2 linked regions of the Elephas maximus indicus genome follow. The protein of the gene in region 2 binds, or shares a complex with, the protein of the main gene of each other region. Links are inferred from orthologs where the notes say so. Each region holds a gene or a part of one and is shown on either strand. Other genes may lie near its edges. The genes, in order: AP1S1 and AP1G1.

Region 1 (16,814 bases), on a different chromosome or scaffold from region 2:
TGCTTGCAGAAGACATATCTCCCTCAATTAGTTTGTTCACATATTCCAAAATAAAATTTTAAACTGAAAAAATACCAACAACTATCCATCAAAACTGTGCTGTCCCACTCCAGAATCCTCAAGATAAAACTGATAGATACTATCAGCAGAATTCTATTCCAGCCCTCTAGATACCCAGGTCATCTTAAATAGAAACTAATTATCTTCGGGAAGTTCTTGATCAAAACACTGTCCGGTAGTTAAGAGGTAGTGAGTTCTCTGTCACTGAAAGGGCCCAAGGACAGCCAGGATTAACATGTGGTGAACATGTGTCAATGATCAGGGTATAAGACCAGATGAATTTCTTAAAATGATATACAACACGTGGAAACCCTGGTGGCATAGTGGTTAAGTGCTACAGCTGCTAACCTAAAGGTTGGCAGTTCGAATCCACCAGGCGCCCCTTGGAGACTCTATGGGGCAGTTCTACTCCGTCCTATAGAGTCGCTATGAGTCGGAATCGACCTGACGGCAACGGGTTATACAACATGTGCTCCTAGCAAGACATTCAAACAGTTCAAAAAGGGTAACAGTGGGAACTTGATAGCCACCTTCATGTTCAGATTCTTGGGTGTTTTTGTAGAACTTTACTAAGCATTTACAAGCATATACAAAATATTCTTTTCTTTCACACAAACAAGGTCATACTATGTATACTGTTTTGCAGCTTGCTTTATTCATCTAATAATACATCCCAGACACCTTTCCCTAACTCTTCTTACCAGCTGCAGGTAAAGATGTACTACATAATTTCTTAAACACCAACGGTGGATATTTTGGTTGTTTTAAGGTTTGTTTGTTTAAATTCACTTTATTGTAACCACTTGCAGATACAATGGTCCACTGTGATGAGCTGTACCTCTAATACGCATGGGTTAGACACAGGAATGTGTTTCAAGTGTTGTTGTTACCAACCGTGCTGAGGTGGGCATCCTTGCACATTTATCCTGGTACCCACGTTTCATGTACCCACAGGGTAACTCCCCAGCAGTAGGACTAAGTGTCTTCGAAGAAACTTCCAGTCCTGGAATGATGTGAATCTGATAACACAAACGTTTTCAAGTGGTGCAATCAAAAGTGTTCATTTTACCTGGTTACAGTCTTACCTTTTCTCAAGCTTAGATGAGCCTTCACAACTTTCCCAAATAAACCACTGCTGTTGAGCAAAGGCAGATTTTAGACCTTGAACTAAAAGAACTTTCACATTATTTTTTCCTCTAAAATGATGTTAGGAGTTCCCTGGAGCAAATTCTGATCATAATGTTTTCAAGAATAAATCCAGAAAATGTATTCACGACATGCATTTGTCAAAACCCATAGGCCTGGACAACATAAAGAGTATCCCCCGATGTCAACCATAAACCAAACCAAACCCATTGTCCGTGAGTCGATTCCAACTCATAGTGACCCTATAAGGACAGAGTAGAACTGCCCCATAGAGTTTCCAAGAAGCACCTGGTGGATTGTGAGCAGCCAACCTTTTGGTTAGCAGCCCTAGCTCTTAACCACTACGCCACCAGGATTTCCATAGTCTTTAGTTAATAATAATGCATCAATATTCTCTCAGTTGTAACAAATGTACCACAGGAATGCAAGTTGTTAGTAGGAGAAACAGTGTCCATGGGGAAGGAGCCATACGGGAACTCTGTACTTTCTGCACAATTTTTCTGTAAACATAAAAATGCTCTAAAAAATGAAGTCTATTAAAAAAAATAAAAGAAAGAAAACCATTAATAAGATCTGTCTCCGGCCATCATTGCTGCAGATTTCTTATAAATCTTTCACAGTGGAATTATTTATCTGCACGCAATAGTATGAATTTTATCAACCCTCAATGGTAAAAAAAATATTCTAGGAAAAAAAAAATTCTAGGCATCAGAATGAAACTTGTCAAGGGGACCATCTGTTTTCCAAGCCATTTTTAGGTGGTTCCTCAAGTTAGCTTCATTGTACTAAGAGTAGGGATGAGAAAACAAAAGCAAAGAGAAGTTGAGTAACTTGCTGCCATTATTATTACTTAACAGCTCCAAGAGGCAGTTGGCTCCTGTCTGTGCTCTAAGCCACTACACTTCACTGCCTCTCTTTGTGGCACTTGTGACCATGGGTCTCCCTGAACACACAGAGGGGATCAGATTCAGCTGGAGCAAAGGTGCTGCACCCATTGGCCAGTCACCAACACATTCTCTGTGTACACCACTGCCTTATGAGCCTTAACACCGGCCTCCTGAACTCAGTCTTTTATCACCTAGCCACCAGGTGTCACCTTGACTCCAGTGGAAAGCTCTTCTCTGATGCAAATCAGCTGTGGCTTCTACCAAAATCTTGCCAAGTTTGAACTCCATTCAATTCACCAAGTATTTATTTATAATCCCAACTTTATACTGGGTACCAAAAAAACCCATTACCATCAAGACGATTCTGACTCATAGCAACCCTACAGGACAGAGTAGAACTGCCCCATAGAAGTGCCTGGTGGATTTGAACTGCCATCCTTTTGGTTAGCAGTTGAATTCTTAAATACTCCACCACCAGGGTTTCCATACTGGGTAGTGTGAAGCATTAAAATAACAACAGACCAAAAGAACTAGATGGTGCTCGGCTACAGCTAATGACTGCCCTGACAGGGAACACAACAGAGAACCCCTGAGGGAGCAGGAAAGCAGTGGGATGCAGACCCCAAATTCTCATAAGACCAGACTTAATGGTCTGACTGAGGCTGGAAGAACCCCAGTAGTCATGGCCCCCAGACCTTCTGTTGCCCCAGGACAGGAACCATTCCCAAAGCCAACTCTTCAGACATGGATTGGACTGGACAATGGGTTGGAGAGGGATGCTGGTGAGGAGTGAGCTTCTTGGATCAGGTGGACACTTGAGACTATGTTGGCATCTCCTGCCTGGAGGGGAGATGAGAGGGTGGAGGGGGTTAGAAGCTGGCAAAAAGGACATGAAAAGAGAGAGTGGAGAGAGAGAGCGGGCTGTCTCAGTAGGGGGAGAGTAATTGGGAGTGTGTAGCAAGGTGTATATGGGTTTTTGTGTGAGAGACTGACTTGATTTGTAAACTTTCACTTAAAGCGCAATAAAAATTATAAAAAAAATAAATAACGAGAGAGAGAGAGAAAGTGATGAGCCTTACCATCAAGTCGCTGCAAAAATGACTGAATGAAACCAGGTGCTGGGGGCAACGTGAAATGGGGAATATTAAAAAAAAAAAAATTGAATGAAACACTGTAGAAATGATTGCTATAGTCTAGATTAGAGTGTAAGGGCTTATCAGAGCCTGCTTCACAGAAATCGTTAAGGATAAATAAGATGAATTTGAATCTGTGGAGAGGGAACGGTAGGGCATTCCAGAAAACAGTATCACAAAGAAAAATAATAGCAAAGCAAGTTCATAAGACAACAAGACGATGAAGTCCAAGTCCCCGGGTTTTCAGACTGCTTCCTCCCTCCTCCAGTAACATAACCAGTTCTCCCTCACAGTCGTCCACACACCCTCTCCTAGTCTAGTGGACCAAGTCTTACATATGCCCCTTGAATAAAAAAGACTATGTTTCTATGTTACTCTTCATGTCCCAACGTGTGAACCCAAGAAAAAAGGCAGTGACACTGATCACAATAGGAAAATAGGAGATGGGGTGGTTTCTGGGGAAAGTGGGAGGAAGTGATAACTCTTTTTTGGCAAGTGAAGTTTGAGGGGACAATGGAATTTCCAAATGGGGGATCCAGTATGCATTTATCCAACAAGTATCATGTGCCTGCCGTGCGCCAGGCACTGTGCTAGGTACAGGAGAAACAGCAAAAGAAGATAGTTTATCTTCTAGCAGGAATATATATATATAATACTAAAAGACAGAATTAGAACTTAGCATGCTTTCCATGAGAAGTAAGATTTATATATCTAGATTTGTGTTATGGATTGAATCATGCCCCCCCAGAATAGGTGTTGTAAATCCTAACCTGTATGCTTGTGGCTACAATCCCATTTGGGAATGAGTTGTACTTGTTATGCTAATGAGACAGGATTAGTATCTTGAGTCAATCTCTTTTGAGATATAAAAGAAATTAAACTCAAGTCAGCAAGCAGAGATAGGGAAAGAGATGCCAAGCCACAGGAAGACAGCCCAAGAGCAGAAGCTTAAAGAGACAAGGGCCTTCCTGCAGAGTGGACAGAGAAAGAAAGCCTTCCCCTAAAGCCGGCGCCCTGGACTTGAACTTGTAGCCTCCAGAACTGTGCGAAAATGAATTTCTATTTGTTAAAGCCACCCATTTGTGGTATTTCTGTTACAGCAGCACTAGATAACTAAGACAATTTAATAACATCTAAATAGATCATAATGGAAGCCAATCAACAAGCACTATGCTGAGTGCTATAAAAGAAACTAAAGATGTATATGACTCCACCCACAAGAAGCTTACAATCTAGTCAAAGAGACAAGGCATACTCACATATGCAATCAATGGACATCATGGCATGATAATGAAGTTAACCAGTCAGGGTTCTCAGTTACAAGCAACAGAACCAGCTCTGGAAAACTAGCGAAAAAGGAAATGATTTCCTTTTTTTTCCAGCGAAAAAAGAAATCGGGTAGCTCATGGAAATGCCAGGAGGGCCAGAGTACTAGGTTGGAGGTCTCACACAAGGAACAGTGCCCCGAATCATACCTTCGTCTTCATCCCTACACCTCACTAGACACAGGACACGGCTACTGGCGCCACTCCACTGCGGTCCTAGGGACTCGATGCTCCGACCCTCTGTCACTCTCCTGTCAATTGCCCCATCCCCACCTCATTCTCTCCTGGGCCAAAGTCTGGGAGATGGACAGATGGGCAGAGCCCAGCAGACACGCCCATGCTGTGGCTGCAAAGGAGGCTGTGAAAGTGAGTATCTGAAATTTTCAGATGCTACAGTGGGAGGTTGTTCTATCTCCCTCTGGACTCATAAAGTGGGGATTTCCAAACTCTAGAAACAGGGTTTTTAGAATCTAAAAAAGGTTTAGAATCTAGGAGATGAAAAAGAATGACAAACATCTACCACAGAAAGTATTCAAATGCTCAGGACTGAAAGGAACAGTATATAGGAAGGTATGAGTTCAAACAAACAAACAAAGATCACTGCAAATGAGTTCATCAGGGAACTATGAAAGAATGGACCAAACATAGGTGCAGAGAACATCACAGGAGAGAGAAACACAGATCATAGACTCATAAAGATGGAAGGGCTTCAGAGGCCATCTGGGCCACCTTCCAGCCACCACAGGAACCACCTTATAACCAGATGAGGGAAGGCATGTGGAAGTGTCAGCACGGTCATGGGGAGACAATACAAATTCCATCCCCACCTATAAAGGACAATCTCACCTCTCCCATATTTTTCCGTTCATAAAAATGGCACCACTAATCCTCCAGGCTCGTCTTTGATTCTTCTCCCTTCTTCTCTATTTAGATGAGTTATCAACTTCTGTTGACTGGCCCACTGCAAGTGTCTCTCTAATTTATCCTTCCATTTCCTCTCACGCCTGGATTACCAAAACTGCTCCTATACGGTCTTCCAGCCTTCCATTTGTCCTTTCAAATTGTCCCACATATTACTGTAAGACTGATTTTCCTAAAAGTGTCTTTGCCAAGTTATTCCCCAGCTCAGGTGACTGTAATGACTCCCAACTGCTTACTGCGTCAAGTTTGAACTCATCTGCAGACAAAAGCTATTGGATGAACAAAAGGTATTGAATCTACTAACTTACAGATCCCCTACAATCATCGTGTACTAACAATGAACAAACCTAGTCGTCATCTTCTAACTAGTTTCACCCGCTTGGATTCTATGATTCTACGTGAGCAAAGCCCTTGTTTCTAACAATTTCCCATGAGTCTTTTCTGCAGCTAGGCATACCACATTAAAATGAGGAACTCTAGAAAGCGTTAGCTTTCTAAGGAATGTAGGAGTTTACATCTCTAGAGCTTCCAAATTTGCACAAGCTGTTGCCTAGCTCTCCACTTTGTCTTTACCTCATTTCTCCTTACTTCCTTGTTTGCAACCTCCTCCCCTCTCCCATGAGCACATTTCTTTTTATTTGTTTTGCCTTCTGTCCTGCTTACACATAACGATCTACCCTTTCTAACTCTTACAACTTGTTTTATTAATGTTACTTTTGACCTAATAAATAACACCAAGATACTTCAGCCAACATCTATGCCATTGGCAAGCCTAACGCATCAGCAGAGGAGAAAGGGAAATGAAAAAGAAAGGAAGAAGAAAACACAAAAGAAAGAGGAGTGTCTTACTTATCTATTCCTGCTATAACAGAAATACCGAAAGTGGGTGACTTTAACAAACAGAAATTTATTTTCTCACAATTTAGGAGGCTAGAAGTCCAAATTCAGGGCAGCAGCTCTACAGGAAGGCTTTCTCTCTCTGTTGGTTCTGGGGGAAGGTCCTTGTTCTTTGGTTCCTTGGAGATCTCCCTGTGGTGTGGTATCTATCTTCCCCCAGCTCTGCTTGCTTGCTTGTTTAATTTCTTTTATATCTCAAAAGAGATTGATTTAAGACACACCCTACACTAACACTGTCTCATTAACATAACAAAGAAAACCCATTCCCAAATGGGATTATAACCGCAGGTATAGGGGTTAGAATCACAACACATATTTTGGGGGGACACAATTCAATCCATAACAAGGTGGGAATGGGAAATAATGATAATAGCTACCATTATCAAGTTTACAATATGCTAGATAAAAAAAAACTTTCTATATATTATCTCTAATCATAAGAGCAACCTTGTAAGATAGGCATTGCTACCCTCATTCTTAAAATGAGAGATGGAGGGATACAGATTAAATGGCTCACCTGAGGCTATACATCTAATAAGGGTGAGAGACAAGATTCCATCCCAGATGAATTAGCCCCACCCCATTGTCGCTAGAGCAGAACCGCCATAACAAAGAACCAGAAAAAAAAAATTAAAAAATTAAGTGGAGACATGTAAGGCTTTACCCACAATTACTTCAACTGCTACTAAAACATAATAGTATCATCTGTTGCCAAGAATTATCTAGAAATACCCATTAATTTTTCAGCATGACAAAATTTAAAATGTTCTCCTAGGCTTAAGATAGATAGCTGCTGTTGAGTTGACCCAAACTCATGGCAACCTCACGTACAACTGAACAAAATGCTGCCTGGTCCTTCATCATCCTCATAATTGCCATCATGTTCAAGCCCATCATTGTGGCCATTTCGCCAATCCATCTCACCCACTGTCTCCCTCACCCTTGCTGGCCCGCCACCTCACACACCATGATGTCCTCCTGAAGCAATTGGCCCCTCCCAATAATGTGTCCAAAGCAAGCGAGTCAGATAATGATCTGTTGTGCTCCACAAGGTTTTCATTGGCTAATTTTCAGAAGTAGATTGCCAGGTCTTTCTTCCTAGTGTGTCTCAGTCTGGAAGTTCTGTTGAAACCTCCACCAGGGGCAAGCCTGGTGGTATGTGAAACACCAGTGGCACAGCTTCCAACATCACAGCAATGCACAAGCCACTGCAATTCCAACAAACTGACAGAAAGCAGTGATGCTATCCTTACAGAGCCACCCCTTTTCACCACCACATAAACACACACACACAGACATGCACAGGTGTGCACACTCACATATACACACACATCCTCAGTTAAAAAGCTCATCTTACAATCTGCACCCTACTCATCTTTACACATATGTCTGGTTACGTCTGTCCCTTTTTAGTTTTGATACATGCTAATCTTTTTAAAAAAAAATTTTTTTTATTAAGGTTCCCTTTATTCTCCCCCTTGAGCCTTAATTTCCCTTCATGTTTCTCTCTCTTCCTTATATCTCTTTTAATATGAGCCTCACCTTTTCTCTTTTATCATTCCCCTCATTTCCTCACACTTCTCTTACTTGAAGAGAATGTTGCACCTAGCAGGTTCTCAGTGGATACTAATTTTGAGCTTTATCTTTGTCTTCCTGCCTCCCTGATCATTCCTCTCCCCCTACATCTAGTTCCCACCCTGCTCAGTCTCAATTGCCCACGTTCCTTCCATTAGTTCTCCTTGCTTCCTCACAAATGCCAATGGTCGTCCCATACATTTCTCACGCCTTTTCCCGCCTTTTTCCCCCAAGGTTCTATAGCGCGAGGACTCATTGTCTTCCTCCCACATCCTCTAACCAACCTACAAGACAGCCTTGTTACCATGACGACAGAGCTACTCAAAGCTGAAGTCAAGGACCTGGTTGCCATGGCTCCCGCTTGTCCGCCTCCAGCCCCTCCCGCGCGCCCCGTAGCGTTGGCGCCTGCGCAGTAGGCAACGCGCCGGGCCTCCGAACTTGGGCGGGACAAGGCGGGGCTTCAGCCGAGAGGGAGGGAAGAAGAAGAAAGGATAAGACGGGAATAGAGCTGGCGCCTACGGTGGCCGAAGAGGGACGCGCCGAGCCGGAGGCTGCAGGATGGTAGGCTGTGCGAAAAGGGAGGGGAGGGGGGAACTGAGGGGCGTGGGCTGCACCTGAGGGGGTCCTTGGGGGCCGCCCTCTGTGCGAGTCGTTCTTTCTTCACTGTCGTCCTCAGAGACCCTCCTGTATCTGGGCGGGTGGGCGAGGCGGCCTCCGAAGGAATTCCTGGGAATGGCATTCGAGAGGAGTGGGGAGGAGGCGCATTTGCTGGGCGAGAGGGGGCTGATGTGGGGACGGCGGCACCGGCGAGACCGGACTGAGCCAGGAGTGGCCGGGTCTCGGTCCGAGGGGTGCCGACCCCTGCCGCCGGGAAGTCGCCCGATGTACAGGGGCGCGGGGGTCTGCTCGTGGAGGGAGGGAGGAAGGGACTGGGGGCCGCCGGTCGTCAAGACCCTCTGTTCTCGAGCAGCCCAGAGAGGAGCGGCGGCCGGTGGGGGAGAGCGGGTGTGGGAGGGAGAGTTTCCGGGTCCGAGGAGGGGACGTCCTGCCTCGCTGTATCGCCATGCTCGCCTGGGGGCAGCGGTGAGGCGGGGAAGCGAAGGGGGCTGGAGCTTTGGCTCTCAGGGACCCAGGCTCTGAGCTCCTGGGCGCCGCTGCTTTTCGCTCTCCGCCCCCCTTCCCATTCTTTTTCCGGAACCCAGGCCTTCCGTCTTCCTGCTCGCCCCACCGCCCCCATCATAGACGCGCCCCGCTCCCTGGCGCCCCTCTCTTCTCCTCCTGCCACAGTAACAGTACTTCCTCTTCCCTACCCCCGAAAAGCCTAGTTCTCGCCTGGCCTTGAATTCAGATTTCTAGCCCACTGTGCCATACGCTAAGGAGCCCTGGTCGCTCAGTGGTTAAGTGTTCCGCTGCTAACCGAAAGGTCGGCGGTTCGAACCCACCAGCTGCTCCGTGGGAGAAAAATGTGGCAGTCTGCTTCGGTGAAGATTTACAGCCTTGGAAACCCTACGGGGCAGTTCTACTCTGTCCTATCAGGGTCGCTCTGAGTCGGAATCAACTCAACGGCAGTGGGTTTCGTTTGGTTTGGTGCCATACACCCAGGGATTCCAGACCTGGTATTGTCCACAGAGAGGAGAGCTGCTGGGAGGAGGAGATGAATCTGGAGCTAGGAAGCTGGAGGTGCACTGGTAGTGAGGGCTCTGCTCTCCTCTGCAGTCCACCCAGCTTGCTCTGTGCGCCACAAACATTCCCAGGTAGCTGTGTCCTCACTCAGGGACCCAAAGAGAGGTTAGTCATCCGGGGTCTGAGAAGTGGGCGCTTAGCAGAAGACAGCCCTAAAAGGCAGAGATGCTAAGAAATCAGAGGCCAAATATCTGGATGACTGCAGAGAGAAGAGGGTGGAATTTGGGATCCCAATACTATGTGCCAGGAGAAGGATAGGACTGGCACCAGAGGGCAGGGTGTTTGGGACATCAGAGAGGACTCATGGTTAGGATGGGGTGGAGAGTAGAGGTAGCTTGTTGAGGGGCAAAATATCCAATTTCATGGTGGTGATGGACAGAAAGAACTTGGAAGAGACCAACCATCTCTTTAGCATCTCTTTAGGGGCTTCTTGTCATGATGCTGGGCATTTTACTTATCTTTAGGAAACAGGAGGTCAGGAGATAATAATTATAGTACTTAACACATTACAATGCTTACCATGTGCCATGCACTGTCGCTAATACCAACTCATTTAATCCTTCCTAAAAATTTTGTAAGGTGGGCACTTTATGATCTCCATCTTACAGATAAGGAAATAGAGGCCCAGAGTCATAAAGGAATTTACCCAACACCATACCCAACTCGTAGGGTCTGGACTTGAGCCCAAATGACAGGCTGAGAAGCTCTGACTTCCCCCAGAAGGACAGGTACCACGTGGTGTGAATACCCAGCATTGACAGCAAAGGGCTGGAATTTTTAAGAAAGCAGGAGCTGGAGTGGAGAAGAGTTAGACGGGATGAGTTTGGGACTGTGTGTTTGTGGAGGGAAGAAGCTCAGAGGAGCAAACCTCTGACCCTCAGCTCTGCTCCCCCTACCCCCCCCCCCCAGATGCGATTTATGCTGCTGTTCAGCCGGCAGGGGAAGCTGCGGCTGCAAAAATGGTACCTGGCCACATCCGACAAGGAGCGAAAGAAGATGGTTCGGGAGCTTATGCAGGTTGTGCTGGCTCGAAAGCCCAAGATGTGCAGCTTCCTGGAGTGGAGGGACCTCAAAGTCGTCTATAAGAGGTGACACATCACCTACTGTCAAAACTGCCTGGATCCTGTTCGATTAGAGTTTGGCAATGGGTTAAAGAGAGGGGATACTGGTAAACAAAGGGCCCCTTATGTCAGGGAGAACTGGGAGCTAAGAACATATCTGGACGTCACTGATTAACCCCAGCTTTCCTTCCTGCCAAACTCCTCTTGAAGAAACTCTTGTTCTCCACTTGATTTTGGTCAAGCACATACCTCTGTCCCTAGAGGCTCCATTTGGTCCACTGTGTGTATCCCTTGTAGTCTCAACAGTCATAGATCCTGCCCCACTTTCCCAACACACGCAGACACATGTACCTTATCCAGTTCCTTCTTTAAGCAGGTGAATTAGTTGGCTAATTTTTTGCTGAGTCAAACAACAGGTCAGAGGGCAAGAAAGAAAAAGTGTGTGTCTTTGCGTATGTGTGTGAGAGAGCACCAGGAGGCAGAGTGAGTTACCCTGTCTGTGTCTAGTGGAGGCACAGACTGGGCTGGGAATGAGGAGAAACAGGGGGTTTAAGCTCAGAGTGCCTGGGTCCTGAACCCAAAAAAGGGTCCTGAAGCAGCCTTCAATTCAGCAGCTATGGCTCATGTACCCCTCTCTCCAGATATGCCAGCCTCTACTTCTGCTGCGCCATCGAGGGCCAGGACAACGAGCTCATCACGCTGGAGCTGATCCACCGATACGTGGAACTCCTGGACAAATACTTTGGCAGCGTAAGTCACTCCACTCATCTGTTTCCTTACCCAACAATCTCCCCTTGCTACCAAATGCCAGGGCCCTTCTAGCTTCTGCCCTGGAAGACTTGGGAGAGGTGAAGTTGGAGCAGTGAGCACAATAATTAATCTCCCTTTTTAAGCCTTAAGCCTATTAGCCATGTACCTTAATCAGTCGCAGGGAAGGGGTGGGGGGAAGGTTTGGACCAGAATCTGTCACTTAATCTCCACATACAGCTCAGCTCAGACTACTCACACAAGGCCAGAGGCTATGTTCAACTTTTTATCAGTGGTTTCTGACCTTGACTACATGTTGGAATCTTCTGGAGAGCTTTTTGAAAATATTGATGCCCAGGTCCCACCCCAAGATTCTGAATTAACAGATCTAGGGCGTAAAGGCTTTCCTTGGAAACTCTATGGGGCAGTTCTACTCTGTCCCATAGGGTCGCTATGAGTCGGAATCAACTCGATGGCACTGGTTTTTTGTTTTAGGGTGTAACTTAGGCATCAACAGACGGCTCAAATCATAGATGGGGAATAGTAATAACTCCATAATTTGTACTCCACTTAACAATTTATGAAGTGCTTTTATGTCGTTCTCTTGTTTGCTCTTTCCTCTGTCTTATGAGTAGATGTTGTTATCTCTATTTTTGCATGAGAAAACTGAGATTCAGAGACATTAAGTGACATATACCGCTAGCTGGATAATGGCACAGCCCTGCCTGGAACTCAAGTCTTCCACCCAATTGTCCAGAATCTCCTCTTCTTCTGGTGGGAACAATATTGCAGTTTTGGCTGGGAAAGGCAATAGGAACCACAGATGAGGGTAGACTAGGGCAACTGGTATTTCATGATCATGGAGAAAGAGGCAAGCGAAGGAGAAGAAAAAGCAGCACCAACTACTAAGGACTGGGGTTGGGAGGACTAGGACCTGGGGCAAGAACCCAAGAGTGGTCATAAGAAAAGAAGTGGAGGGCTGGGGTAGAGGTAGGGGTGGGAACACATCTTGTCACTCAACCTTGTCTTCCCCCTCCTCCTCAGGTGTGCGAGCTGGACATCATCTTCAACTTTGAGAAGGCCTACTTTATCTTGGATGAGTTTTTGATGGGAGGAGATGTCCAAGACACCTCCAAGAAGAGTGTACTGAAGGCTATCGAGCAGGCAGACCTGCTGCAGGAGGTAGGGACCAGGGACAGTGAGGAGGAGGAAGAGCACCGACACTCTGCCTACTGGTGATGGCTGCCCCCTTCCCGCTGCCACTACCAGGGTGGCCTTCGTCCTTGTGGCACCTTCCCCCTTCCCTCTACTTAAGCCCTGACCATAGGGGTTGGGAAGCAGGGTTGGTAGACAACCCACCTGTGCCATTTCTCCTCTCAGTCCAGGTTCTGTCATTCTCCCAAGACCCGGGTGCCTTGTCCCAGGCAAATCTTTTTTGTTCCATACTTCTTTTGGTCTCAAGAGTTGCTCAGAAAATTGGAGAAGGGAACACATACGTGGTAGATAGCTCTTTTATTCCCTGGTTTCTTCCCCAATTTTTTTTTTTTTACCACACACATATTCAACAGCTTCTGCTTCTTAGGAGCAAAAGGCTGTGGGGATTTGGGGGCTGGAGTAGAGGCTGCCCGCTCTGCTGGTTCTCTCTGCTCTCTGCCCCCCACTCGCCCACACCCCATTACTGCCTGCCCCCTCTCTGCTTGCCACGGCTGAGACTTGGTGCAGGGAGATGAGTCACCGGAATCTGCAGTGACAAGCAAGTCAGCCTGAGCTGGCTATGAGGAGGGGGAGAGCTGGGGTGGGGGAGGGGGGCCGCCTCTCTGCAGGAGGAAAGGCAGAGCTGAACTTGCCACCTCACTGGTCCAGCTTCCCCATTTCTGTCTCTGTCTCTCTCCCCTTTCTCTCTCTCACACACGCACACGTACACACATGCCCTGGCATACATGCCCACCCCTGTTATTAGTGCTCTTCTCAAACCCTAATGACTCATCCCTCTACAGCCTGGTTCACCTTCCCTCGGGGACCTGAAGCCAACCTCTTACCCTACCCCCACACTCTGAAAAGGGGGGACCCAACCATGTGCCACCTTCCATTTCCCAGAAAGCAGTCCCAGCTTCGCCCCCCTGTTGCCCTCCCTCAGGTACTCAGGCTGAGCCCCTGCTCACCAAGCTCCTGGCTTTGGGTTCTTTGGGTGGTGGTGGTCTGACTCCTGGCCCCTGCCCTGCCATTGTTGGCTCTGGGGGTGGTCCTGGGAGGCCAACAAGCTCCCCTCAAGGGCTCCCAGCTGATCCAGACTTGGTTCACAGGCTCACATTGGCTTTTCTTTTCCCTGCCCTGTGTCTCCTCTGCTTCCTAACTCTGACTCCTTCCTCATGATTGCCGTTGTCTTGGCTACCCCCTCTCTCTTCCTCCCTGTCTGCCTCTCCTGGTGTCTCTGCGTCACCGTGTCTGTCTCTGCCTTAGGAGGACGAGTCACCGCGCAGTGTGCTAGAGGAGATGGGTCTGGCGTAGCCCCGGTGTGTGACTCGACGTGGGGCTGGTGGAGAGGCAGGGCGAGAGCGGCTGCTTCTCATCGTCTCTCCAGGCCCTTTTCTTGGTGGGACCCAGCCGCCCCTCTGCTGCCTCGCCTTCTTCTGGAGTGAGCTGCAGGCTCCGGACCCTCAAACATTCCCTCCTTCTGCCCCCTACCTCCTGTTTTCCCTTTTCCCACCCAAGGCTGAAGGAGCTAGGAGGTAGGAAAATGTGATCGAGATGGGGGTGCTCTTTGGATTTTATTTCCTGCCTTTGAAGAACTTCTCCAGACTTCCTCTCCTCCCTTGTAACTGTAAATATATAAATACGTCAGGTTAAAGGGAAATGGTTTGCAGGGTTCTTTTCTTTCCCCTGCCCCCGTACCCTACCTCTACCCTTTTCCCCCAGCCAGCCAGCCAGCAAGCTTCTCTGCCTGGGTCTGAGGCTGCTGAGTAGGGAGAGGGAAGCCCTTGCCCTCATCTGCCTCATCTCTGTGTGGCTGTAGTGGGACCGGGTCCAGGGCCAGTGGAGGAACAACAGAGTTAATTTTTTTCTAACCTTGCCACCTTGAGAGAAGGAAGAGTTGGAGGAAGGGAGAACTTTGTGGGAGACTGGGCCCTGTCCCTCCTCCCACCATGTTCTGGGTGAGGCAGGAGCTAAGGGGGTAGGCTGGGGGAAGTGTCTGACCTTATTTCTTCTGAAATAAAAGGAAAAACATTTCTGGACTTTGCCTTCCTTGGACTCTGTGGAGGAAGGCAGGACTGCTGGGATCAGCCAGGACCCAACATTGCCTATTCACCTCTTTCCCCAAAAGGATTGCCAAATTTAGTTAAAGAAAAAAAAAAAAAAAAGACACCCAGTTAAATTTGAATTTCAGATGAACGATGAATACTTTTCTTAGTTTAAGTGTGTCCCTTGCAATATTTGGAACACACTTATATTAAAACCTTATTAGTTGTTTATCTGAAATTCATACTTAACCAGGTGTCATGTATTTTATCTGGTAACCCTTCCCCAAACAGATTTGTGTGCTCAATGCTTCTCCAGCCACCCTGCCTCCAGCTCCCTGAACTACCTTCACTGGGAAGGAGCAATTCCTCAGGAAGTGGCTTCATGCCTTGGGTGTTTCGTTATGGAGGATTTCATTTACCCAGGTTTAGATGTGGGAGAGGAATCAGTAGTTCAAGGATATAGCTCACCCCCAAGGTTGGGAAAGTGTTGAGAAGGGGCTAAAACCAGGATGTTTGACTGCCAACCCCTCCTCTCCATATTTCTTGTGAAATACATACCAAAAAACCAAACCTCTTGGGGTTGAGTCAATTCTGACTCATAGTGACCCTACAGGACAGAATAGAATTGTCCCACAGAGTTTCCAAGGAGCACCTGGTGGATTTGAACTGCCGACCTTTTGGTTAGCAGCCATAACTCTTAACCGCTAGGCCATGAGGGTTTCCCTGTCAAGAATATAGTACCAAGGAATTTAGGGATTAGTGAAAGGAGAGGGGAGGTGAGGTGGACCAGAGGCAGTGGGGAAGTTACCCCAACATGCTCAAGTGGTTCAAGAGTCACAGAATGAAGAGCCAACCTGGTGGCTCTGCATGTCTTTGCCAAGCCCTGGGGAAAGGTGTCTTTTTAACGCTCTCCCTCCTTCAGCTGGAAGTGGAATTTAGGGTTTCTGGATGTGTGTGAGCTGTATAAAAAAAAAAAAAAATCAAACCTAGTGCTGTCGAGTCAATTCCGACTCAGCAACCCTATAGGACAGGGTAGAACTGCCCCATAGAGAGTTTCCAAGGAACGCCTGGCGGATTCGAACTGCTGACCCTTTGGTTAGCAGCCGTAGCACTTAACCACTATGCCATCAGGGTTTCGGTGAGCTGTATGCTCCCCCTAAATACCGGATAAAGTGAATCCACCCCTGAACTCTGATTTGGTTGGGGGTAGGAGGCAGGATACGGGTGTCATGGTTGGCGCTTCCTTCACCGCCCCTTGTGAAGGACCCCGCAGGCCCAAGGGGACGGGTGAATAACCGAGAACAAAGTCCTAATAAAATAGTCACTTTTATTTCTTAGCAAAACTATTTCCTCCGTGAGGGGTATTTACAACAGAGAAGGAAAAGAAGGGGTAAATTCACAGCGATCTGGAGAGGGTGGGGAGGTTCGTGGGAGGCCCAAAGGAAGGAGACAGACACGCTGCTTCACACAACTAACTGAAACTGCTTTTTCCGGTTTCGGACGGGGAAGTCCCTGACGGGACGAGGTGAGGACCGGGGCCCCCTGGGGAGGAGATTCACACAAACCACCTGCCCGCCCGCTTGGGCTGGCCCCAGGTCACCACGAGTGAGTTTGGGAGATCGGGCTTCGGATCCAAGAGGTATGACAGGTCTTGGCACAGCCCTGGGGCGGGGCTCGGCCCGCAGGCCAAGGAGGAAGGGCGAGAGCGGGGCCGGGAGGCGGCCGAGGGGCGGGGCCGGGGCGCATGCAAACATCGAGAAGGGAGAGGAGCGACACGGAGGGGGAACTGCGGCGCGCGGGCCGGGGGCCCGCGGGGCCGGGGCGGGTCACGGGCGCCGGAGCAGCACGTGCTCAATGTAATTCTCCAGCTCCTCCTGCTCCTGCAGCCGGCGCTCCTCCGCCTCCGCCTCCTCTTGAGCGCGCCGAGCCTGGGCCTCCAGGCCGGGATAGTGGCGCGGAGGCGGCAGGGCGTGGTGATAGTGGCGGCGGCGCGAGGCGGCTGGTGGCTGCAGTGTCCGCGGCCGGATGTAGTTGGGAAAAGGGTGATAGGGGCCCGGGGAAAACACCTCGTCCTCCTCCCGATCCCAGGGCGGGAGCACCTCGTTCCAGTCGGGCAGCTCATCTTGAGCGGGCGCGGGGA
Region 2 (16,062 bases):
CTGTTCAGTTTCTGTTACTTGCTATGTTCTAGTGTATTAAATATTAGTTATTCTCTGAGACCGATACCTGCGTTTTATTGACTATGCAAAGGCATTAGACTATGTGGGTCTTAGCAAATTATGAATAACATTGCGAAGAATGGGAATTCCAGAACACTTAATTGTGCTCATGATGAACATGTACATAGACCAAGAGGCAGTTGTTCAAACAGAGCAAGGGGATATTGCATGGTTTAAAATCAGGAAAGGTGTGCATCAGGGTTGTATCCTTTCACTATGTTTATTCAATCTGTGTGCTGAGCAAATAACTCAAGAAGCTGGACTACATGAAGAAGAAGGCAGCATCAGAATGGGAGGAAGACTCAATAACAACCTGCAATATGCAGATAACACAACTTTGCTTGCTGAAGGTGACGAGGATTGAAGGACTTACTGATGAAGATCAAAGACTACAGCCTTCAATATGGATTATACCTCAACATAAAGAGAACAAAAATCCTCACAACTGGACTAGTAAGGAACATTGTGATAAATGGAGGAAAGATTGAAGTTGTTAAGGATTTCATTTTACTTGGATCCACAATCAACGCCCATGGAAGCAGCAGTTAAGAAGTCAGGCAATGTATTGCACTGGGCAAATGTGCTGCAAAAGACTTCTTTAAGGTGTTGAAAAGCAAAGATGTCACTTTGAGCACAGTCTTAGGCTGGCTCTAGAGAAACAAAACCAGTAAAGTGTATAAATATATGTAGAGAGAGATTTGTAGCAGGGAAATGGCTCACGGGATTGTAGAGGCTGTAATGTCCCAAGTCGGTGGGACATTGAATAGAGGCCTCTCCTGATTCACATAGCCCCAGGGTCTGGCAAATCCAAGATCAGCCGGTCAAACAGCAGGGTTTTTGCTCACAGGCTGCGAAGATCAATGAATCCCAAGATCGGCAGGCAAGACTGCAGGTAAGCTGCTAGCTCAAGTCCCAAGAACTGGAGGTCAGACAAGAAGAGCTAGCTGCAGGAACCAGAGCAAGGAAAAGCCTTGCCAGAAAGTCCACTTGTTATATTCAATCCGGGCCTCACCCCCAAGGAAACTCTCTTTCAACTGATTGTCTACTCACAGCAGATCATGGAGGTGATCACGTTATATCAAATCTCATCATGGAAGTGATCACATCATCATATGACTGCCAAACTACATCATAACCACCAGACTACTGAGAATCATGGCCCAGCCAAGTTGACACACAACCTTAATGATCATAAGGATTAAGGTATGCCTGACCCAAACCATGATATTTTCAATCATTTCATATGCATGCAAAAGCTGGACAATGACTAAGGAAGACGGAGGAAAAATTGATGCCTTTGAATTATGGTGTTGGTGAAGAATATTGAATATACCATGGACTGACAGAAGAATGAACAAGTGTGTCTTAAAAGAAGTACAGCCAGAGTGCTCCTTGGAAGTGAGGATATCGAGAGGTCGTCTTGTATACTTTGGACATGTTATCAGGAGGGACTAGTCCCTGGAGAAGGACATTATGGTTGGGAAGGGAGAGGGTCAGTGAAAAAGAGGAATACCCACGACGAGATGAATTGACATAGTGGCTACAACAATGGTCTCAAACACAGCAACAGTTGTGAGGATGATACAGGACTGGGCAGTGTTTCCTTCTGTTGTACACAGGGTCACTGTGAGTTGGATCCAACTTGACTGCACCTAACAACAACAACTGTGAAACTGAAGAGAGGAAAGCCTGAGAAAATAAAATGGCCAAATTAATTTCTCAGAATGCAATTATTGGTTATGTTAAGTATTTATTTCAGAATTCTATTTTATGTGTCCAGGAGGGTTTATGTTGACCCCTTTGTATGTGAAAAAGTGATACCTGTAAACCATTCTCTCTCCTTAAAAAATCAATTTGATGTTCAATATTCCATTCTTGGATCCCCCCCAGCCCCCATTAAAAAAACAACAGCAAAAACTTATTCAAAGAATGTAGGGTTGAAGGGAGGATCTTCCAAACCAGGACCAGGGACCCTGCCTAGCAAGCTGGCAGCCCCTCCTCAGGAGTAAGGGATCTCCTACTGGCACCTGCTCAAGCCCTAGGCCATCCTCTGGCATTCGTGAGTGGCTTGGCAGAGAAGGAGTTTGGTGTTTCCTGAACTTGGCACCAGAGATTGGCTGCCCCAGTTACTTCAGATGTCCCAACAGTTCTTGGACTTCCTGGGCCAATTTTAAAGCAACTGTAGGACTGATTTTAGAGGAACAAGAATGGGGCAATGCACCTAAAGGCCAACGGAAACAAATTACCATGGATCCTTCTAGGCAAATGGTGGTGTCCACATTAAGGAAATTACTAAGTAGACAACAATGAGTCAGTAGTCCTGCTCTGTTTCTGGGTGGCTTATCCTCCTCTGGGGGCCTCAGTTTTGTCTTCCTTAACAAGAGATTAGTATCATTTCCTCAACTTAGGGTTTGAATTGATTCCAGTCTGAAACCTGGTGATATTTTTTACTCCAAAGGTGCGACATACAACAGAATCATTTACAAACCAATTGTAACCACTCTACAAGAAAAACAAACAAACAAAAAAACATTATGACATAAAACATCTCAGGTAGCACTCAAAGCTGTTTAAAACCTCTCTAAAGCAAAGAGGGAGCTTGGCTGAACCTCACATCCTCTGGGCTTTGGTCTTCACTTTGAGGGAACATGTATTTCTTAATGCTCTTGGGAGATGGTCAAAGAGTGTATGGAATTGCCTACTGGAATTTTAATTTTCACATTATTGCTGGCTGTTGTCATAACTGAAGGATTAATTCGTAAGCCTTTTTCTCTGGTCAGGATAAATTGTGACAAGGGGCCATATTTAAAAGGGTTGTAAAAATGCTTTTTCTGAAAACCTTACATAAACAACAGCAGAGGGACTATTTATGGATTTGGGTGACTCAGATGATAACAACACAGTCCAGTGGAGCTGCCTCTTTGACTCGCATCACTGTATTTCCTACAGAGATGTGCTCCCTCTTCAGTGGCCTTTCTGGGCTGAGGTCTCTGGCATGTGGAGAGGCAGGAAGAGTTCCTTGTGAAAGATGCTGACCGCATTTCTGCAGAGACAGCCTTCCTCATCTGCTGTAAAGGTCATGTGGCTTCAGCTGCTGATACTAATGAGTCGTTTAAGAACTCCACTGCATCCCTAAGCCCAAGAGAGAGAACCCTCTCTAGTACCGCAGATTCCAACAGACATGCTATATCTTCCAAAAGCCCTCTTTGACTGCTCTGGCTTCCAGCGAGCTCTCGTTTTTGGTCTTTTTGTACTAGAATTTACTAATCTGCTGAGTAATAGTATTGCTGATATATTTGTAATTTGTGGATTTTAAAAAAAATCTAATTTTCCCCAGTGAGATTATAATTTTCTGGGGGGTAGGGACAGACTCTTTTGAAATGTCTGTTATAGATTCTGGTATACACAGGACAGGAAAGAATCAGGCAGCATATTAATTGAAATAATTACTATTTGGCAGGTACTGGGCTAGAAAAAAAAAGCATATTGAAAATTGGAAGGTCTAGATTTGAGTCTAGTCTCTGCTGTATGAAAGTGTGATAAATCATTTAATTTGTCTGAGCCTCTGTTTTCTCCTTTCTAAAATAGGGATGATAATGTTTGCTCTAAAGAGAGCCGATAGTTATTGAGCTCTTTGTATTCACCAACCACTGTTCTAAGTGCTTTAAATGTATCAGCTCATCATTACACCAGCTTAAAGATGTTGATGTTATTATTAACCCCATTTTACAGATAAGAATGTTGTTGTCGTTGTTAGGTGCTGTCGAGTCAGCTCCGACTCATAGCGACCCTATGCACAACAGAACGAAACACTGCCTGGTCCTGTGCCATCCTCACAATCGTTGTTATGCTTAAGCTCATTGTTGCACCCACTGTGTCAATCCACCTCATTGAGGGTCTTCCTCTTTTCCACTGACCCTGTACTCTGCCAAGCATGATGTCCTTCTCCAGGGACTGATCCCTCCTGACAACATGTCCAAAGTACGTAAGATGCAGTCATGCCATCCCTGCTTCTAAGGTACATTCTGGTTGTACTTCTTCCAAGACAGATTTGTTTGTACTTTTGGCAGTCCATGGTATATTCAATGTTCTTCGCCAATGCCACAATTCAAAGGAGTCAGTTCTTCTTCGGTCTTACTTGTCCATCTTTCACGTGCATATGATGCAATTGAAAATACCATGGCTTGGGTCAGGCGCACCTTAGTCTTCAAGGACTTTGCTTTTCAACACTTTAAAGAGGTCCTTTGCAGCAGATTTACTCAATGATTTGATTTCTTGACTGCTGCTTCCATGGGTGTTGATTGTGCATCCAAGTAAAATGAAATCCTTGACAACTTCAGTCTTTTCTCCGTTTATCGTGATATTGCTCATTGGTCCAGTTGTGAAGAAAAAATTCAAGCCTCGAGTTGCAATAGTGAAGGATCCTATGGGGAAAATATTAAATGACGCAGGAAGCATCAAAAGAAGATGGAGGAAATACACAGAGTCACTATGCCAGAAAGAATTAGTCGATGTTCAAACATTTCAAGAAGTAGCATATGATCAGGAACCGATGGTACTGGAGGAAGAAATCCAAGCTGCTCTGAAGGCATTGGCGAAAAACAAGGCCCCAGGAATTGACAGAGTATCAATTGAGATGTTTCAACAAACAGATGCAGTGCTAGAGTTGCTCACTCGTCTATGTCGAGAAATATGGAAGACAGCTTCCTGGCCAACTGACTGGAAGAGATCCATATTTATGCATATTTCCAAGAAAGGTGATCCAACCAAATGCAGAAATTATAGAATAATATCAGTAATATCACATGCAAACAAATTTTGCTGAAGATCATTCAAAAATGGCTGCAGCAGTATATCAACAGGGAACTGCCAGAAATTCAGGCTGGTTTCAGAAGAGGATGTGGAACCAGGGATATCATTGCTGATGTCAAATGGATCCTGGCTGAAAGCAGACAATAACAGAAGGATGTTTACCTGTGTTTTTATTGACTACGCAAAGGCATTTGACTGTGTGGATCATAACAAATTATGGATAACATTGCAAAGAACGGGAATTCCAGAACACTTAATTGTGCTCATGAGGAACCTTTACATAGATCAAGAGGCAGTTGTTCGTACAGAACAAGGGGATACTGCATGGTTTAAAGTCAGGAAAGGTGTGTGTCAGGATCGTATCCTTTCACCATACCTATTTAATCTGTATGCTGAGCAAATAGGCTGAGAAGCTGGACTATTTGAAGAAGAACGGGGCATCAGGATTGGAGGAAGACTCATTAACAGATGAGAAAGAGGCTCATGAAAGTTCAGAGATGTTAAATAACTTTCTGCAGGTCACACAAGGATGAGTGGAAGGACAAGGTTTTAAGCCCAGGCAGGCTATCGCTAGAAACCCATTCTCTTAACCACTATGCAATAGCGCCCATGTGTTTTACAAGCCCATGGTGGGTGAACAGCAAATGAGTCAATGTATATGAAAATAGTTTTGTAAACTGTAAGACAGCATACGTTTGTGCTATTGTCACTTGTAGTTGTTGTTGTCCTGTGTGGTTGAGTCGATCCCAACTCACAGCAACCCTATGGGACAGAGTAGAACTGCCCCATAGGGTTTCCAAGGAGTGACTGTTGGATTCAAACCGCCAACCTTTTGGTTAGCAGCCAAGCTTTTTTAAGCACTGTGCCACCTCTCTAAATCTATTTTGGAACAAGGCAAGCCATAACCCGTAGATATTGAATGTCTTGCTCAGAGCAGGAAGTTACTTAAACCGAACTAGGACTGGAACCCAAGTGGTTTGACTCCTGGCCAATGCTTTTTCAGTTGTTATTTGTTAAATTGAAGCACGTAAGTTATCAATAAAAAACAAAATCATAGAAACAATGATGTTTTCTCCCAGCCATTCTCTATTCCTAGAAGTTTGTTAAATCTTCTTAGGCTGTTGGTGTTTTAAAAACAAAAATTATCTTTAGCATTTGGATCTGAAAAACTTCATTATCTTAAGAATTTTTTTCAAAGTGTAAAAGTCTGTTTTTTTCCCCAACTATAAAAGTACAGTATGCTTGATGCAACACAAAAACCAAAACCAAAAACAGCAAAAAAAAAAAAAAAAATTGTAAAGAAGTGAAAATCATCTATAACCCCACCACCCCAAAATAGCTATTTTTGTGTTGTAGTTTTATCCTTCAAATTTCTTTCTATGCATATGTAGTTTTTACAAGCTCATTTTATAATACTTTTTTGTAATATTATTTAAAAAAATTTGCCATACGGTGATAAAGATAGAGCTATAGTTGTTTTCACTGGCAACATAATATTCCATTTTATGGAAGTTCTGTAATTTATTTATCTGGGATTAGGGATTATATTTGAGAAGATGAGGAATAAACCTTTCCAGACTTTAATCACTGCCCAGGGAAACCAAAGATCCTGGGATAATGAAGACCCTTTATATACTGGGCCAATTGCTTTTAATTTTCAGTTGTATGAAGGAGGGGTTTGGTAATTATAAATATTGTGAAATACAAGTAAAAAAAAAAAAAACAAACAAGCTTGGAGTGGTCTCCATTTTGTAATGTCTGCAATTTTCTCTTTAATGGTCTGCCATTTGGCCTGGTGGAATAAAGCACCTTCCTTCTTGAATAGCTATACCTCAGAGAAACCCAGGTATGGCATCATATGGTATTCCTGCAGAAGAGGGTGCTGAATTCCAAAAGCATTCCACTCCCTAAACTATTTGCTTTGGGTCAAATCCACCGTGAGAAAGGCAGAGATAGACACAAAGACGGGGGGGGGGGGGGGAGAGAGACAGAGACAGAGAAAGAGACAGAGAGATAGAGAGAGAGAGACAGAGAGAGACTGTGTGTGTGTAGGTGGGACGGGGCGGGGGGCGGGGAGGACGACGAGAGGTTACTGTTTCCCAATTTGCAGGGTAGGACCACTGGAGGGGCAGTGGTTAAGCGTTGGGCTGCTAACCAAAAGGTCGAATCCACCAGCCTCCCCTTGGAAACTCTATGGGGCAGTTCTACTCTGTCCTATAGGGTTGCTATGAGTCGGAATCGACTCGATGGCAAAGGGTTTTTGGTTTTTTGGTAGCAGGACTACAGCGGCATAGGGGAGAAAGGAGGGGCGGATCCTTTGGTAAGTCAGTGTCTGAATTTCAGTTTCCTTATTTATACAACTAAGTTACTTACACTTACCCAGCCTGACTCAGGCGGTTGTCGGGAGGGTCAAAATACATATGCATATGAAGGTGCTTCGTTAACAATGTGATAGCGATATTTAATAATGGTAAAAGATGATTACTATTATTACTATTTCAGCCACCTTGCATGATCCGGTAGTTTAAGGACAAAATTGTACAGATGGGCTACCCCGTTCATCTTTTGCAGTGTTTTGAACCCCCTGAAAATGATTGCCTAAGGGAGAAAAAAAAAAAAAAATACAAACTCTTTCCAATGACACTCAGGTCCTAAACTCAATGCTTGTGATTAGTTCGGTTCACTGGTGCATCCAGCCGGGTGCTGTGCTTTATTCACTTTGGGGGGCACTTTATCTCCAATCTAACCGAAGAGTTTTAGTCTAGGTAGGTCACCTTTTCTTTAAATAGGACAAGATATCATGACACTGTTTATGTTCACATGGAAAATATTCTTGGTCAGGTGTTAGTAATTATTTATCAAGCCAGGAACTGTCTGGTTGGGCTTCCTATGGTTCAGGTTATTAGTTCATGAAGACATACACAGAAAGCCCAGTCTGGAAAGGTTTTATCACTAGCCTAATCCTTTTTTTTTTTTTTTTTTTTTACATAAGAGGGAAGTGAGGCCCACAGAGTTTAAATGACTTGTCCAATGCAGGGGTTGAATGATGGTACTGTGTCCTCCTTTAACTCTTCATGCAGAGGTGATCTGAAAGAGCTTGGGATTTCAGTGGATTATGATTTGGCTCGGGGTTCTCCACCCCTTACCTGCCTCTCCTTTCTCACTTCCTCTGCTACTTTACCTAGCCCCGCCCCCTTCAGGTGCCATTAGCCCAACCCGTTCCCTCCCCCCTCCCCCCACAAAGCGGAACCAATGTTCGTCAGCTCCGGGGTTGACCGGATCCTTCTTGTTCAGACTCATCGCAGCGGTGACTCGGCAGCAGCGTCTCGCGTCATCAGTGACAGCCCCGAACCTTGCTACGCTTCGCGTCGCTCGGCCAGGGGCAGTCGCTTCCTCCGTGGCAAATAGTCCTCGGCGACGTCTAGATTCTTGGATAATAGCAGAAGAGAGGCGCAAAAGGTTGCAGTTAGAGGGTGCGGAATCGATAAGGAGAGGAGGATAGGAACCCGAAGTTTATGCAATAGTGTGTGAAGTTAGTTAAAACTCCGTCCCTCCTAAGGATCCCTCCGCCTGCGGTAGCGGTGGTGAGGCGAGGAAGCCGCCATTTTGGATGTTCGGTTCCTGCTGCCACTGCTGCCGCCGCCCCCGGAGCTGCTGGTTTCATTCGAGGTTTCGGGCCGGTGAGTGTCACTCTCGGCGCCGAGAGTATATTGCTTCTATTGCCCAGCGGCTGCTGCGAGCCCTCGACCGGAAGCTTCCTGATAAGCCCAGGGGTCCGGTTCTAGTCTGTGGGGGGTGAGAACAGAGGACAGAGGCTGGGCCAGGAGGGGCCCGGACCCCAAGGGCTGCTCTGACTTCTTGAGGGCCGCCCCTGAGGCATCGGACCCGGTGGCTCTGCGCGCGGCGGCACTTTGGCTTTGGCGTACCCGGATCGGTGCGGGCCTCCATGAACCCGTTGACTTTCGTAGTCTGCGGTTCTCCTTTGAGGACTCCATTCAGGGAGCCTGGGGTTTAGCGGGGCGGGCTCCACCCCCGCGTGTCTTCACAGAGCCACGTATCAGCGTTCTTGTATCTGTACCCGGGTCAGGTGTCTCACAGAACTCTCCTCAGCATATTCAAATGTTCAGTTAATCGCTGTCTGTCCCTCCAGTGCCGTCCTCCCTGAACCGGACATCGACCTCGCCTTCCTCTAACCTTTCGACCGTCTTTTTCAATTCTCCGTTTTATGTTTTTTTTTTTTTCAAACTAAACTGCGCGTATACCGATTATCCTTCACTCAAAGTCTTGGTCTTGAGGACGTCAGTTTTTAATAATTCTCCCGATCTTTCTGACTGCCTGAAAAAGTTGGGACGGTTGGTTGAGCTCTGTTAGGGCTGGCTGTAGAAGATCCATCAAAGCACCAGCTCAAAGTGTACTTCAGTAGTAAATGTTTATAAAGCAAATTAAATGGCTTTGTGTGTGTGTAAAGTAGGGGGTGTCAAATATTTTCTTTTTGGTGGATTACCCTCTTTTGCTGAGCACTTAGCTTTTTGGTGCTTATTGACATTTGTACATTTTTCTTGGTGTTAACGTATACCTGGGAATGGAAAGCTGCCTATGAAGAAAAATAGTAATCTGATGTAGTTAGGAAGGAGAGTAACTTTTTTGGCTGCTGTAGGGATTAGTCAACAGAAGGGAGGAGTGAATGAAGATTTCTTAGTAATTTTAACTTTTAGGTGTATTGTGTAGAAATGATCTCTCTCACTGACTCTAGAAATGGTTCATTGACTTTTCTTTTTCCTCTCTGTTGTAAAAAAAAAAAAACTGGTCAATTAGAAAATACTCGTATTGACTTTGTGTGTTGGGTTTTTAACATTAACTTAAGCTCTTCTCAGTATACACCTTAGCTTTTGTTTTGAAAAATACAGACCTTCCAGATAAGTGTAATTTCACTACTTTTACTCTGCATCTAAAATATGTTTGCAGGGTAGCATGCGTGAATAAAAGCATTTCATAGCAATTCACTGATTATTTCTTACATTTCAAGTTAGGTGAGTCTGATTCAATCACCCCTATTTCACATCTCAGCTTAGGTTTTTATATCTGTAAAATAACTTATTTGAGATCACAGTCTAGTAACTGTTGAAATTTTAATTTATAACTTGAATTGAGTCACATTTTTTAATATCTAATATTTATATGTATTCACCACTATTTCACGTCTCAGCTTGGGTTTTCACATTTTTAAAAGAGATTACTTATCTAAGATCACAGTCTGGTGACTGCTGAAATTTGAATTTATAACTTGAACTGAATCAAAATATTTTTAGTACCTCTAATATATGTATTTAATACCTCTATAAGTGGAGCCTTGGTGGTGGAGCCTTGGTGGTGCAGTGGTTAAGAGCTTGGCTGCTAACCGGAAGTCAGTAGTTCCAGTCCACCAGCCACTCCTTGGAAACCCTGTGGGGCAGTTCTACTCTGTCTTTTAGGGTCACTATGAGTCGGAATCGACTCAGTGGCAATGAGTTTTTTAATGCGTAAGTGCATTATTCTTGCCAAGTTATTGAAATGAGATTATAGATGAACTGTGTTTACATGACGCCTCAGTAGAATACTGAATGTTTTCATTGTAAAGACTCACTGGTCTTGTTAACTTATTTGTTTTAAGGGAATTTTTCAAAAATGTATTAGTTACTACTAGATATCAGTGAGTTATTAGTGTTCGCGTAGTTTACTCTAAAGCTATGGAGTTTCATGGTTAAAGGAACTGTCAAACACTGAACACCTATGGAATGCTCACTCCTTCACTAACTGTCCCTTACAGATTCTTCTAAAATGTTCTGAGTTACACTTTTAAAGCAAAATATTGCAGGAGCTGTCAGGTGTTATTTAACTCCATTCATTTCGTGGTATAATGTACTGGTAGGTATTTAAATGTTATTCATTCTTTGGGGATTTGCATTCAATTGAAGAAAGTGTTCTTTTGCCTTGGAAATTTTTAAGGACTGTTTAGTGCACCACTGATTGATCAGCATATAGTTGAATATCACTTTGTCCAAGGCTGTTGGGATTACACTTGAAATTAACATTAATGTTTAGGAAACCTCAGTTCATTTTCTTTTGGGAACAGTTTCTTGTTCTTTTGATTTTTTTCACTGAAGTTCTAGGTTTGGTGGCAAATTTTAGAGTGAAACTAAAGTACAGAAATTGCCAGCAATGCCTGGGTTATAATATTTCAGTATTTAAAAAGTCTTGACAATGAATGATATATTTAAGAAAAAAGTTTTTGTGACTTATAAAAACTCTTTATACAAAATTTTAAATGTTGAACGGTCATTTTCCAAAACCATTAAGACTATTTTTAATTAAAAAAGTTGAATTGAGAAACTGCATACCAAAACAGATTTTTGAGATGCTTAATCCCCTTTTTGCATTGGATGAGGATTATCAAATTTTGTGTATACAATAGGACTTAATATCAAAGGTTATAAACTCTCAGATTTAGCTTTAGAAAATCTAATAAAACTATTACCTGTCTTCAAACTGCACCAACTTGTTTAACTGTTTTTGGTGCTTTAATTTAATCTTTCTTTGCTTTATGAATTGTTTTCAATTATTGATTTTGACTTTTTTTCATGTTGCCTTTATTCACTTTCTTTCACGTAGTATAGGATCATATTTAACGTAGCAAGCAAGCGATTTTAAAATGAAGAGAACATACATTTATATAACTTCCCGTATTATCTTGGCTATAGGTTTTGAAAATCATGTTTGTCAGAATGTATTAGAATTTTTCGAGTTGCCTTTTTGTTGTAGGAAATTTGATTTCTCTGAAGGCAGGGAAGAGAAAGGGAGAAAGGTGTAATTTCTACCTTGAAAATACATGTAAGGTTTTTTTCTTTATTGAAGGAGTAACACAAAACAACCTGGCATAAGTTCTGGTTGCTAGAATAATCTCCCGTCAAAAGGTTTGAAGGGTCCAGAAGTGAAAATACCTACACTTGCCAAACTTGTTGAGTTGCAGTAACTGAAACTTTGGTATAAAAGGGCAAGGTTTGTGATAATATGATTAAATTGAGAAGTGCCTTTTTCGCTAGGTACTGGGAAGTTTTGCCTTTTTTAAGCCTAATTGGATCATTGGAGAGGTAAAGATAATAAGTTATAAACATCATCAATGAAAAATTAAATAGGCTTGGAAGAAAAAAATCTTAGTTTTTTAAAAGATGGGGAAAATATATGTGACCTTTGTACTTTTTGAGTAAGTGAAGACATTTTAAAGGCAAGTGGTTTTTAATCCTGCTTTCTCCTTTTTTACAGTATGAAAGTCACAGTGTAACCTGATGTCCAGTTGCTTTGCTAACTTCAACTCACTGTGTCTGGTTCTATGTGTGTTATACTGAGATTCCCAGGCTTTTCATCTTGTCTGTCTTTAAGTTAATGTTTTGGATTCTTGGAAATAACAAACAAGAGAAAGATATGAACTTAGGAACTGTGAAATAACTTTTAGTATTCCCCTTCTTAAAAGCCTTTGGGTTAAAGTTAAGACTTGTAGAAGAAATAGATGTACAATATTTGGCTATAAGAGCCAGCTTTTATAAATGATTGAACAGCAGTTGTACAGCTCAAAATTTAAGGAATTCCATTAGTGTTTCTACAGCTTAATTTAGTGATGCTATTTACTAAACTTCACTATTGGAAAATTGTTCAGTACCAAGCTGAAGAAAAAGGGAGGGAAGTTAATTCTTATATTACTTTTTTTGGTTCACTTTCTATTTTTTGAAAAATTTGAAAGCATCAAATTTTAAAAGTATGGTGAAAATATTAGTTTGAGATGGCTAGTTGGGAGAACTACCAGAGTTAATCGAATCTTTGTAGATACTAGTCTTTTGGTATGATTATTGAAGGAAAAAACCTTATTGTAAACAAGAAAAGAGGCTAGTTTTCTGATAGAACACAAAAACATCAGAAAACATTTTTGATGTATTAAGTGTGTATTTGTCTCTAGCAGTGAGGGCACGGACGCTGTATTTTCTTTAGAAAACTTCCATGATGAAAGCTTAATAAATAGTGTTGGCTTTTTAAGAAAGTAGAACAAGGAAGTAGCTTACGCTTTGATTTTACTAGCCTTTGTTTGTATTGTTTTTATTTATGCACACTGAACTTTTTGCTGTTCCTTGACTACTCCATGTTCTTTACTTTCGCATTGTACAGGTTCCACCTAAACCTGGAATGCTTTTTTCTCCCTTTCACCTGGTAAACTTATTTTTCCTTCATGTGTACCCCGAGGCAAAGGGGTGTAGCACCTTTTTTTTTTTTTAGTACTTGTTAAATTGTCTGTTTTTTCTTGAGCAGTCTAAAGGGGAAAAATTATCTCATTTCTTATGATATCTCTAGTACATAGCAAAGGAACCCTGGTGGTGCAGTGGTTAAGCAGTCAGCTGCTAACCGAAAGGTAAGCGGTTCGAGCTCACCAGCTGCTCCTAGGGGAAAGATGTGGCAGTATACTTCCATAAAGATTACAGCCCTGGAAACCCTATGGGGCAGTTCTCCTCTGTCCTATGGGGTCACTGTGAGTCACAGTTGACTTGACAGCAATGGATTTTTTTATTACATAGCACGGTACCTGGCTATTGGTACTCACTCAGCAGAATAGATAATATGAATGAAAATAATGTGGAGAAATTGTTCAGATACTCAGGCATGCTATAATTGGTCAATCGTAGAGTCAAAAATCATTTGGGGTCCTGACTAAGTTATGGGAATCTATTATAGTCATTTACTTGTGGCTGGTAGAGTTGATGTCAGTGAAGTTTATTTTCAGGTTTAAAAAACATACAAAACCTTGTCTCCAAATCTTTGAAGATATTATTTAGTTGTTCGGTCCAAAACCTGAGATGATCCTTATCTCTTTGTGATTTACTCAAACTCTTACGCAGAAATTTTAAGTAACAACCAAGAAATCTGGCTCTTTCTCATTTGCATATTCCTCTAATTCATTGAGCATCTTCTCATGTGCTAATTGGCTGTTTGTAAATCTTTGGTGAACTATCTGTTAAGTCCTTTGCCCTTTTTTTTTCCCCCAGTCCACTTGCCAGAATTTATTTGTAATTCCAAAATCAGTACTGTATAACACTTCAGTGGTTATTTGTGCAACAGTGAATATTTGAGTCCCCTATAGCCTGTGTTCCTGTCCGAGTTTCAGCAAGGTAGCACTCTGCCTTCATGTTTCATCTCCCACTGTAAACAACTGTCCTTTTTCCAGTCTATTTAGTGCCACATTTATCTCATTTTTGTGCTTTTTGTGGGTGACTTTCCTGTTTAAAATGGTGCCCAAGCATATTGCTGAAGTGCTATCTCGAGTTCCTAAGTGTGGCTTATGGAGATAAGCTTCCTTCAGGTATGAGTTATAGTGCTGTTTGCTGTGAGTTCAATGTTAAGGAATCAACAGGATATATTAAATGTCTTTAAACAGAAACACATATAATACAAGGTCATGTATTGATTGGTTGATTAAAATGTGGCCAGATGCTCACAGGAACCTAACCCTGTATTTCCAGTAAAGCACTCGTTCAGTATTCACTAGTGTTCTCAGTGACTTCAGAACATAACTACTAAGAATCAGCTGCAATTTGTCCATTTTTCCTTTGCCTATTTTTTTGATTGGGTTGTTCGTCTTTTTGTTGTTGAATTGTAGAAGTTGTTTATATATTCTGGATATAAACCTTTATTAGTATATGATTCCTAAACATTTTCTCCCATTCTGTAGGTTGTCTCTTTACTTTGTTGATACAGTCCTTTGATGCAGAAATTTTTAATTTTGATGAAGTCCAATGTGTCTGTTTTATTTTTTGTTGCTTATACCTTTGATGTCATATCTAAGAATCCATTGTTGCAAACTAGGTCTCGAAGCTTTACTCCTTCGTTTTTTTTAACAGTTTTATGATTTTAAGTTGTTGGTACACTTTGAGTTAATTTTCATGTATGATGTGAGGTACAGGTTCAGCTCCATTCTTTTGCCTGTGAAAATCCATTTATCGAAGAGACTTATTTTATTTTGAAGGGACTTATAACCCTTGTTGAAAATCAGTTGACCTTAGATGTATAGGTTTATTTCTGGACTCCCAATTCTATTCTATTGGTCTGTATGTCGGTTGTTATACCAGTACCAGACTGTTTTGATTACTGAAGCTTTATAGTACGTTTTGAAATTGGGAAGTGTGAGTCCTCCTACTTAGTTCTTATTTTTCAAGATTGCTTTGGCTATTCAGGGCCTCTTAAAATTCCGTATAAATTTGAGGATTAGCTTTTCCATTTTTGCAAAGAAGCCTGTTGGAATTTTGGTAGAGATTGCATTGAATCTTCATCGCTTTCGGTAGTATTAACGTCATAACAATATTAAGCCTTCCAATCCATGAACATGAAATGTCCTTCCACTTATTTAAGTCTTTATTTCTTTCAGCAATGTTTTATAGTTTTCAATGTGCAAATCTTTCACCTCCCTGGTAAAATTTTTTCTTAGGTATTTTATTCTTTTAAATGCTGTTGTAAATGGAATTCTTTTTTTTTTTTTTTAAGTTTCTTTTTCAGATTGCTTATTCCTGGTATGTAGAAACCCAACTGATTTGTCTTGACCTTGTACCCTACCACTTTATTGAATTCGTTTAGTATTAGCTTAGTAGCTTTCTTGTGGATTCTTTGGGACTTTCTGTATATAGGATAATGTGATTTGCAAAAAAGGATAGTTTTACTTCTTCCTTCTTAATTTGGATACTTTTTATTTTTCTTGCCTAATTCCTCAGACTAGGACTTCTACTGCAGTATTGAATAGAGTAGTGAGAGTGGGCATCCTTGTCTTGTTTCTGACCTTAAGGGGAAAGCTCTCAGTCTTCCCCATTGAGTATGAAGTTCCAGTCCAGTCGCCATCAAGTCATTTCCAACTCATGGCAATCTCATGTACATCAGTATGGGTTTTTAATAAATGCCTTTTATCAGATCGAGGAATTTTCCTTCTATTCCTACTTGAGTGTTTTTATCATGAAAAGGTGTTGGTTTTTATGAAATGCTTTTTCTGCTTCAATCAGAATGATCGTGTGGTTTGCCTTTGTTCTATTAATGTGGTATATTACTTTGATTTTCTAATGTTGAACTCTGGTATATAATTCTTTATGCTAAGGAAACCAATAGTAAGTAGTCTTTTTCCTGATGAAA

What was found.
Region 1: the proteins of AP1G1 (region 2) and AP1S1 are in contact, whole or in part, in a crystal structure (PDB 1W63), measured with the Mus musculus proteins. The link is inferred for Elephas maximus indicus from reciprocal best matches to the Homo sapiens genes AP1G1 and AP1S1. Residues at the interface, in NP_001288140.1 of Mus musculus: Leu7, Arg8, Ile11, Arg12, Arg15, Leu54, Tyr55, His57, Met58, Gly60, Tyr61, Lys78, Phe79, Thr80, Arg83, Ile84, Leu87, Met90, Leu91, Asp94, Glu95, Thr115, Phe117, Leu123, Cys124, Gly127, Cys128, Tyr152, Lys155, Lys156; in NP_031483.1 of Mus musculus: Met1, Leu14, Arg15, Leu16, Gln17, Lys18, Trp19, Leu21, Ala22, Thr23, Asp25, Arg28, Lys29, Arg42, Lys45, Met46, Cys47, Ser48, Phe49, Glu51, Lys56, Gln74, Asp75, Asn76, Glu77, Leu78, Ile79, Leu81, Glu82, Leu83.

The regions. Positions count from the first base shown.
Region 1 is NC_064830.1:92,566,583-92,583,396, forward strand, and holds AP1S1 (AP-1 complex subunit sigma-1A), read left to right. Parts: upstream 1-8,417; 5' UTR 8,418-8,502; coding exon 8,503-8,505; intron 8,506-10,536; coding exon 10,537-10,715; intron 10,716-11,329; coding exon 11,330-11,438; intron 11,439-12,479; coding exon 12,480-12,617; intron 12,618-13,895; coding exon 13,896-13,943; 3' UTR 13,944-14,668; downstream 14,669-16,814. Other genes in the region: neurosecretory protein VGF, read right to left, coding at 16,501-16,814. UniProt on the Homo sapiens protein: Subunit of clathrin-associated adaptor protein complex 1 that plays a role in protein sorting in the late-Golgi/trans-Golgi network (TGN) and/or endosomes.
Region 2 is NC_064839.1:38,633,714-38,649,775, forward strand, and holds the start of AP1G1 (AP-1 complex subunit gamma-1), read left to right. Parts: upstream 1-8,197; 5' UTR 8,198-8,552; intron 8,553-16,062. UniProt on the Homo sapiens protein: Subunit of clathrin-associated adaptor protein complex 1 that plays a role in protein sorting in the late-Golgi/trans-Golgi network (TGN) and/or endosomes.